2 linked regions of the Arabidopsis thaliana genome follow. The protein of the gene in region 1 purifies or fractionates together with the protein of each later gene. This does not show direct contact. Each region holds a gene or a part of one and is shown on either strand. Other genes may lie near its edges.

Evidence for each region. The genes of interacting proteins can lie anywhere in the genome.
Region 2: the proteins of SAP5 (region 1) and CR88 purify together in Arabidopsis thaliana (affinity purification with western blotting, with the first as the bait; one study listed by BioGRID). This does not show direct contact.

What each region holds. Positions count from the first base shown.
Region 1 is NC_003074.8:4,011,044-4,014,139, forward strand, and holds SAP5 (A20/AN1-like zinc finger family protein), read left to right. Parts: upstream 1-1,564; 5' UTR 1,565-1,663; coding exon 1,664-2,146; 3' UTR 2,147-2,540; downstream 2,541-3,096. UniProt on the Arabidopsis thaliana protein: May be involved in environmental stress response.
Region 2 is NC_003071.7:1,279,808-1,286,672, forward strand, and holds CR88 (Chaperone protein htpG family protein), read left to right. Parts: upstream 1-1,946; 5' UTR 1,947-2,175; coding exon 2,176-2,427; intron 2,428-2,535; coding exon 2,536-2,609; intron 2,610-2,694; coding exon 2,695-2,820; intron 2,821-2,910; coding exon 2,911-3,004; intron 3,005-3,094; coding exon 3,095-3,178; intron 3,179-3,265; coding exon 3,266-3,409; intron 3,410-3,491; coding exon 3,492-3,608; intron 3,609-3,690; coding exon 3,691-3,726; intron 3,727-3,839; coding exon 3,840-3,920; intron 3,921-3,997; coding exon 3,998-4,102; intron 4,103-4,197; coding exon 4,198-4,338; intron 4,339-4,429; coding exon 4,430-4,522; intron 4,523-4,611; coding exon 4,612-4,689; intron 4,690-4,767; coding exon 4,768-5,022; intron 5,023-5,104; coding exon 5,105-5,207; intron 5,208-5,288; coding exon 5,289-5,463; intron 5,464-5,558; coding exon 5,559-5,664; intron 5,665-5,744; coding exon 5,745-5,834; intron 5,835-5,913; coding exon 5,914-6,102; 3' UTR 6,103-6,337; and 1 more. UniProt on the Arabidopsis thaliana protein: Molecular chaperone required for chloroplast biogenesis. Essential for chloroplast biogenesis and maintenance, and thus for embryogenesis. May be involved in the disassembly of VIPP1 for thylakoid membrane formation and/or maintenance.

The DNA of each region.
Region 1 (3,096 bases):
ATCACTAACACCCCCAAAAAAACGGAATCAAATCAAAATTTGCTTATTCCTCCTTCCCTAAACAATACACCAATACGAATGCATCAATACACATTTGTCGCGCATATACAATTACGAATTTTCTTCAAGGATCGAGATCAATTACCTTAAAAAAAAAAAGCCGCGAAATGATTTACCGTTCGGACAAAACAAAAGTGAAAATTGGATCGAGATCGGAAGCAGGAGTTACGATAAGAAGGAATCGTAACTCCGGTTGGGATTACAGAGAGGAAGAGAGATGACGAGAGAGAAAGAAAACAAATCTAGCAGGCGACTCTGTCAGAATTCCTTATTTGGGGGTTCGATTTCTCTTATTTTTCTCTCTTTTTTTTTTTCTTTTTTTTTTGATGCTTTTTTGTTGTCATTTGGTTTTCGAGTTTAGCTGTTTAGGCATTGACCTCAGAAACAACCCGACGTTTTAGGCAGCTTTTTCTCCCATAGTTAGCTACGTTTCTCCATTTTTCAAGATTACTAATTTTATTAAAATATTACTATAATAAATAGATTTTTATTTACATTTTCCATAATCTGAATGAAATCAAATATATGCAAATATCAAAAGTATCACCTGATCACCAATTCCTAGTTTTGTCCAATGATACTGATGATTCATCAGCCGATTGATTGAAGGAACAAATTTGAAGTTTTCCACTGCTAGTTGAATTATGGTTAGTTCATTTGACTTATCAAAATCAAATGACTAAAATATTCGAATTTTCTTACATGCTGTAGAGATTAATTTCAATTTTAATTCATCATCCCATTATCTATATAAGAAAAAAGTAGAAACATTTCGCGAAATACAATCCACCTTCTGGGTTGTTGTCTTGTTGAATATGGTCAGGAAAATAAGACCATTAAAGCTTCAACCTCCAAGCCAAAGAGCAAATAAAATACTACTGATTAACGCAAAAACATGGAAAAAAAATAAAGTCTGCAAATTGGCATGTTGACATGTTGTACGCGTAGCTTTACAACCTCACAGGTCGTTTTTTTTGTGTGACAGTTTTAACCCCCAAAATCTCTTTCTTTTTGTTTTTCCCTAAAGTAAAAAATAAAAATCTAACATGTCCGAAGTCGAACCAAACATAAACATACAGGTGTTCGAAACTAGTTAACACAATAACACCTCTAGATATATATATGATTATGGTATTACTTTTCTTTGGTGATTTTTTTGTTGGGAGAGAAACATAAATAAACAAGTTGGCCCATATTCCAGCGATTTTCCTCACCCTTCTTTGATATCTCAGTTTATAAAAGTCATGATACTAATAAATTAGAGTATACTCAAAGAAAAATCAGAAAATACACCCAAAAAAGCAAAAATGTGAGAAAGAGAAACATGTTGTTGTCCGCTGTATGGCGTCATAAGCCATTCTAGAATCATTGAAATGCATATTTAATCCTCTCTGGTAATTCCAAAAAAGCGATGAGGGTATTAACGTAAATCCACCAGAAGACGAGAAAGTGGGGATGGTGGAAGGAGAGATGATAAGAGAGATGGAAACGCGTCTCTCTATGAGGCCCATATTCCATTCTTACCTCTCTCTACCTCTCTATCTCTCTCTCCTCATAATCGATCCGTAAACTCGCCGGAGGAGCAGGGAGATTCAATAAGACGATGGCTCAGAGAACGGAGAAGGAAGAGACCGAGTTCAAAGTTCTCGAAACCTTGACGACAACAACAACGACGTTATGTACCAATAACTGCGGCGTTACAGCGAATCCTGCGACGAACAACATGTGTCAGAAATGTTTCAACGCATCTCTCGTCTCGGCGGCCGCAGGTGTTGTTGAATCAGGTTCGATCTTGAAGAGATCGGCTAGATCTGTCAATCTTCGTTCGTCACCAGCTAAAGTCGTGATTCGTCCAAGAGAGATCGATGCGGTGAAGAAGAGAGATCAACAGATCGTAAACCGATGTTCTGGTTGTCGGAAGAAAGTTGGGTTGACCGGATTCAGGTGCCGATGCGGTGAGCTTTTCTGCTCAGAGCACCGTTACTCCGATCGTCATGATTGTAGCTACGACTACAAAACCGCTGGTCGTGAGGCGATCGCTAGAGAAAATCCGGTGGTCAAGGCTGCGAAAATGGTCAAAGTTTAAAAAATTAAAAATTCGATCTCAACCGTTGAAAAACTTGTGGTGGTTCAAAAGCTCCGATCGGAAGAGAGATTGGTCGGAGAGACATGGATTTGATTTGGTGATGTGTTGTAAAAGAAGATCAGAGAGATTATTCCTCTCCTCAAATCAAAATCTGAACCTCAATTTTTTTTTTTACGTTTTTTTTTCATCTTTTAATTTATATATTAGTGAATGATTATTAATATTATTATTGTGTGGCTTACGGATTCATGAATTTGCTTCTTGATCATCGAGAAATGGTGTATGTAAGAGACGAAGGGGTTGTTTGGTAATTTAGGAACATGTCTTTCTGGTTTCGTTTCGTTTCGTGTGGTAGATGTACTTATCACGATACTACTAGTCCATTGTGCGTCACAACTCACAAAGCCAATTTCTATCAGACAAGTTTGCTTGGCGTATAAAATAGCAAAGCCAATAACGTGTTTGAGTTTGTATGGGTTATCATCTTCTTGTGTTCCATTATTTTTATAGATTTGTATATTTTAAAGCATAACATATTAAACTATACATTAGACTTTTGTTTTCTTTTAATAATATTAACATGAGCTTACTCATTCTACGAGTTTTTTATGTGAATTATTTTCAACGCATACAAAAATATCTTGCATATATCTTAAAAGTCCAACAAAATACTGTTCTTTCATGCAACTATCATTGTAGCCAGACTATAGTTATATCTACTTAATAAAATGTGTAAAAAAGTAAGTTCATTGGGACAATTTTCAATTGTCATCTAAAAATTGCAACAAAATACTGTACTTTCATGCAACTATGATTATTTATAACTCTAGTCAGAAAAAAAAAACTGACGGAAAAAAAAAAAGTCAGAAAAAAAAACTAAAAGTTGGAGCACCTAATTAGGCCCAACCCAATAGTGAAAATATAAATGTGTTGTTTTAAATTGAAACACA
Region 2 (6,865 bases), on another chromosome or scaffold:
ATCTGTTATTGAACATTATAATTCAAACACTTCCAAAACTTTTTTTACCTTGTTCTGATATTGATGCAGCGTATCTTGAAGACAAATGCTCCTCCGGTATTCATCACGTCCGAGGAGATTGTTTATTGCTTTACTTTTGGGTTTAGTTTCATATGGACTTAATTAATGTATATTTGGGCTTTGAATATTTGATATTAGTTTGCTTATTCTTTAGGCTAGGGTTTCCATTCTTTTTCTCTTATTTTAAGAGATGTAATTCATTATTGTAATTAGTTTTTGATTATTGAATAAACGAGTTTTAAGAGAGCTTGTCTAAAGCCTAGAGAGGAGGACTCTCAACCCTAAAAGCTTGTGTTCAAGCCCTGCAAGGAGGATTTGCAAAACCTCATCGATATCGTTATCGATCTCGACCTTATCTCTATTGCTTCTTCATCAAGTTTCGGCGTTCTAAACAAAATCCGTTCGTTAATCCGAGTTCTCATAGAGATTTTGTGTTTTCGTCCGTTATTTAGCTTCCGCTCTCCATCAGATATTACTTTTGTTCAGTAGACCATTCATAAATACCTGCCTTGGATCCAAAAATAGGACAAATAAACATCATTTGCATCATTTTATTATTCTTAAAAGAAATTGCAAATTTTTGACCAAATTGCAAATATTTTGTTTTTAGGTTATACCCAATACCCACATACTGTATTATAGTCGTAATAAAAAAAGGAAAAGTTGCAAAATAAGTAGAGGACAGTGAGAAGTTGGTAACTATATATGTTTTGGTTAATTTAGTTATGGGTATGGAGTCTATAACGTATGGTTTCGATATTTCCAATAATTAGCAATCGTGTATCTTCGTTAGCATCAACATTGTTGTATTTTATTTAGTGCACACCTTCTCATAATTTCTAAATCAATAAAATTTTAATATCATTTTATCTTGGTATATGTCACTATGTATGTGGTTATTTTTATGCTTCCATGTTTTTATTTTTTTTGCCATGGAACCATTAGCTTAGGTTGAAAATCATCGATTGTAAACCTATCATGTTTTCATTTTTATGAAATATTAGGTGATCATCCGCGCTACACCACGGTTTTTTCGGATGTTTTTGTATTGTTTAATTTAAATATAATTTTTATTTATCTTATCATTTACTCATGCAATAAGCAATTACATTTAGTATTAAAATATTTTTTTCTAACCACATTCTCAACAATGCATCATACACATAATTTCTAAACAATGTTTATCTTAAACCAATTTAACAGAGGGTAGTGTTGGATTCTATAAACCTAAGAATTTAATGATGGAGCTCCTTACATATTCTTCACCCTCAGTTATTTATTATATAAATATCAATTTAAGAGAATATAAACATCAATTTAAGAGAATATAAACATCAATTTAAGAGAATAACTTAGTTAAATTATTAAGTAATATACTCATACTTTGAGTTTGGATTACCATAAAAATCTTCGAGTATGAGAAAACTATTAAAATGATTTTATTAAAAAATCATGTGATATTAAAATAAATTTAGTAAAAGTACAATTAAATATGTATAATAAAATAATATGTAAAATTAAATATAAATATATCATTAAACTATAGATTTGAAATTGAAGAGATTACATTAATTATTTAATAAACACATGTCAAATGCTAAAGTGATGATGTGTCTATCATATGAAGAGAGTTGGCCAACTTTCATATATATAATTTACGAAAAAAAAAAAAAAAAACAAATATTCAAGATCTCTTTCTTGATATGGGCCAATTTGATACGAAACATTTTCCAGCCATAACCTTTCGTTTTACTTTATACGGGCTATAGGCCCATTATGGGTTAACGTGTAGGCCCAATAAGGTGTTTTTTCAATTTGGTTTGCATTTGGTGTGTGTGTGTGTGTCAGCTACAATTTCTCAAGGAGAGGCGCGTGTAAATCAAACGGATAATCCTACGGTTTTGATGAAATGGCTTCTCGTAGACCTCACAATCTCTAAACATCTCTTCTCTTTATACGCTCTTCTTCTAGAAACCTCTCTTACCTCACTCTCCTTAAACCTTTAATAGGGTTTTTAGGTTACTCTTTGTTCAACTACTACAAACTCTTTTCTCTTTAGAGATTGAGAGATTGTAAAAAAATCTCAAATCTTTTCCTTCACAACTTTCAAATCTAATGGCTCCTGCTTTGAGTAGAAGTCTCTACACATCTCCTTTGACTTCAGTTCCAATCACTCCTGTCTCTTCTCGTCTCTCTCATCTGAGAAGCTCGTTTCTCCCACACGGCGGCGCTTTAAGAACCGGCGTTTCGTGTAGCTGGAATCTCGAAAAGAGATGTAACCGATTCGCCGTGAAGTGTGACGCCGCCGTGGCGGAGAAAGAGACCACTGAAGAAGGGTCAGGTGAGAAGTTTGAGTACCAAGCTGAGGTGGGTTCTCTTTCATATCTCCTAAAGTTTCAATCTTGTTTTCTGGGTATCTCTCAACTTGATGGGGATATAAAGTTTTAAGATTTGATTGTTGAAATCTTATCACAGGTTAGTAGATTGTTGGATTTGATTGTTCATAGCTTATACAGTCACAAGGAGGTGTTTCTCAGGGAGCTTGTAAGGTGAGTCAATTTTGATGGATTGTTTTGGAAATGATTTGTGTGTTTCTGTCAAAATCTGATTTTGAATGTGTCTGTGTATGTTCAGTAATGCAAGTGATGCTTTGGATAAGCTGAGGTTCTTGAGTGTAACAGAGCCTTCTTTGCTTGGAGATGGTGGAGATCTTGAGATTAGGATTAAGCCTGATCCTGATAACGGCACCATCACCATAACGTATGAGAGACTTCTCATTTTTTGTTTTACTTAAGTATTGAAAATTGAATAGAACAGGTTTACTTAGAGAGGTTTGATGCGTATATGCAGTGATACTGGTATTGGAATGACAAAGGAAGAACTTATTGATTGCCTTGGAACTATTGCTCAAAGTGGTACTTCGAAATTCTTGAAGGCTCTAAAGGTTTTTTTTCCATCTCTTTGAAAACCTGTTGCTAGCAAATCTTTGATGTCATGTTTTCGGACTCATTGTTTTATTGCTCTCTTTATTCAGGAAAACAAGGACCTTGGTGCTGACAACGGTTTGATCGGACAGTTTGGTGTTGGGTTTTACTCTGCTTTCTTAGTTGCTGAGAAGGTGAAGACTTTCAACTTTTGTTTTTTAGTGTCTTCTGGTTAATGTATTTCTTACGAGGAATGGACGTACAATTGTCTTTGCTTTCAGGTTGTTGTGTCCACCAAAAGCCCCAAATCTGACAAGCAATATGTTTGGGAATCGGTTGCCGATAGTAGCTCGTATCTGATCAGAGAAGAAACAGACCCTGATAACATTCTACGTCGTGGAACACAAATCACCTTGTATCTGAGGGTACTTTTCTTTATTCATTCATCCTTTCATTTGATGCGTCAGATCTCTTATAGTTTGTTTGACTGCTTATTCCTGGCTGCAGGAGGATGATAAATACGAATTTGCGGAGTCTACAAGGATCAAGAACCTCGTGAAGAATTACTCTCAGTTCGTTGGGTTTCCTATCTATACATGGCAGGAGAAATCAAGGACTATAGAGGTGAGGATGAAAGTTTTGTTTTTGTAATCATATTAGTGTATTCACATTGCTAATATGGTTTAAAATTTGTAACTTGTGGTAGGTCGAAGAGGACGAACCAGTTAAGGAAGGAGAAGAGGTAAAAAAATTATGTTGTTTTAATTGTGTGTATCAACTATCAAACAGTCACAACCAAAAGACTGTTCTAGAATTTTGTTTACTGAGTTGATTTTGTTACTTGTTTGTTTCCAGGGTGAGCCAAAGAAAAAGAAGACCACTAAAACTGAGAAGTATTGGGATTGGGAACTAGCCAACGAGACCAAACCGCTATGGGTAAGCCTTGGAGCTTTAGCCTGCGTTTTGTACTTTTCTTTCAACATGTTTACTGATTATTTTGTGTCTTTGAATAGATGCGCAATTCGAAGGAAGTGGAAAAAGGAGAGTACAATGAGTTCTACAAAAAGGCTTTCAATGAGTTCTTGGATCCACTTGCTCACACACACTTCACAACTGAGGTCTTTATACTTATACACTATACACTATATTTATGTCAATTTATGAATTCTTCAATTGGTGCTTACTAGTCTCTGTATTGTCTTGATTATTAAAGGGTGAGGTTGAGTTCAGGAGCATTTTGTACATCCCTGGGATGGGTCCTCTTAACAATGAAGATGTTACAAACCCGAAAACAAAGAACATTCGTCTCTACGTGAAGCGTGTGTTTATCTCTGACGATTTTGATGGAGAGCTTGTGAGTCTTTTATGGGTTCTTTCTTATGTAGAAATCTCTTTAGATTTGTGGTTCAATTTTTATCTGACTATGTTACCTAATCTGTTTGCAGTTCCCGAGATATCTGAGCTTTGTGAAGGGAGTTGTGGACTCTGATGATCTTCCTCTTAATGTTTCTCGTGAAATTCTCCAAGAAAGCAGAATTGTGAGTGGTGCAACTGTTAGTGATACAAATGTTTATCATATATGAATATCACAAATTGTAACTGTACTATCTTTCGTGATAATGTTCAGGTAAGAATCATGAGAAAGAGGCTCATTAGAAAAACCTTTGACATGATACAAGAAATCTCTGAGAGTGAAAACAAAGAGGTAGGTATCTCATTATCCTAATTTTGTTTTGAGCTCATTTGAAAGCCAGGGATATTCATGTTGTACAAACAATTCTAGGATTACAAGAAATTCTGGGAGAACTTTGGTAGATTCCTTAAATTGGGTTGTATTGAAGACACCGGTAACCACAAGCGTATCACACCGCTACTTAGATTCTTCAGTTCCAAGAATGAAGAGGAATTGACAAGCTTGGATGATTATATCGAGAACATGGGAGAGAACCAAAAGGCGATCTACTACCTCGCAACTGATAGTCTTAAAAGTGCCAAGTCTGCCCCTTTCTTGGAGAAACTAATCCAAAAAGATATCGAGGTATATGCTTCAAGACTTGTTTTTCAACTTCGAGTTTCTGTTTAGATTTGACTTTCTCACCACTTGCTTTTGTTAATTATAGGTTCTATATTTGGTTGAACCAATCGATGAAGTTGCTATTCAGAATTTGCAAACCTACAAAGAAAAGAAATTCGTTGATATCAGTAAAGAAGATTTGGAACTCGGTAAGTATGGTTTAGCACTGCTGACTGCCCGCACATTTCTCTCAACCATTTGTTTGTAACAAAACGTGTCCATTCTCGCAGGAGATGAAGATGAAGTAAAGGACAGGGAAGCGAAACAAGAGTTTAACCTTCTCTGTGACTGGATAAAACAGCAGCTCGGTGACAAAGTTGCAAAAGTCCAAGTCTCAAACCGTTTGAGCTCTTCTCCTTGTGTGCTTGTCTCTGGCAAATTCGGGTGGTCAGCTAATATGGAAAGGTTAGTACTTCAGCAAAAGCTTTATAACCTGAAATCCACATACCATAAAACTTATGTGCTTGTTCATTGACTTATGTGCTTATTCATTGTGAAAGGCTAATGAAGGCACAGGCTCTTGGAGACACTTCAAGCCTGGAGTTCATGAGAGGTAGGAGAATACTAGAGATCAATCCAGATCATCCCATCATCAAAGACTTGAACGTAAGTGTGTGGTATAATATTCTCTCAGAAATCTCTTGTCTCGAAAAAGCCTTATTAATTTTTGTATTCTTTTGGTACAGGCTGCTTGTAAGAATGCACCAGAGAGCACTGAAGCAACAAGAGTGGTCGATCTCTTGTATGACACTGCTATAATATCAAGTGGATTCACTGTAAGAAATCTGAAACCTTTCTTGTTTCCCAGTAAAAGTCTTGGACCATTTTACTCACTTATATGTGTTTGTTGTACAGCCTGATAGCCCGGCCGAGCTCGGGAACAAGATATATGAGATGATGGCAATGGCGGTTGGAGGAAGATGGGGCAGAGTTGAAGAAGAAGAAGAAAGCTCGACTGTGAATGAAGGAGATGACAAAAGCGGAGAAACAGAGGTAGTTGAACCATCTGAAGTGAGGGCAGAGAGTGATCCTTGGCAAGATTGATCCTTTTTTACCTTCTTTTGTTTGCAGTGATTTTTTTTTGACAGAACGCTTTATCTTTCCATTAGCAGTATCATGGGCCTAATGAAAGCCCATAATTAAATCACGCGTGAACGAGATTTATCCAATACAGTATTTGTAGTTTTTTTTTGATAATTAAAATAATTTTAGAGAATTTACACAAAAAAAGCTTTTAACAAAAATATTTACGAATATTTGAAAAATATTTGCATTTGAGTTGTATTAAATATTCTGAATTTACATCCTCTTATTATTAAAAAGAAAATACAAATTGAAAAATAGTCTAATCTGCCATCAATTTTCAATTTTGGATTTTGTACATTATTAATCAAAATCGTCTATGGTAATTTGGTCATCACTCTATATTCCTTAAATACACTATATTTCAAATTTAAATAATATTTCTTAAACACACTATATTCAATACTTATCACCTATTTATTGTTTTTTCAAAGATTTAAAAAAACTAAATATAAAAAATCAATCTAAAATAAACCAAAAATATAGTTATTAATTTTACATATTTTTTATTAAAAATATTATGTTGGCAAACAATATTAAGAGCTCGCGAATTAATTAGTGGAGCGGATTAGAATTTACAATAATTCATAATTATGCATATGGAATAAATTATATTTAAAAATCAATATTCGATATATCAAAATATGGTACAATCACACATTTTCCGGATATTATTTAAACTAATAATCTTAACGGTCCATTAAAACTTTCCAAATCAAAATGA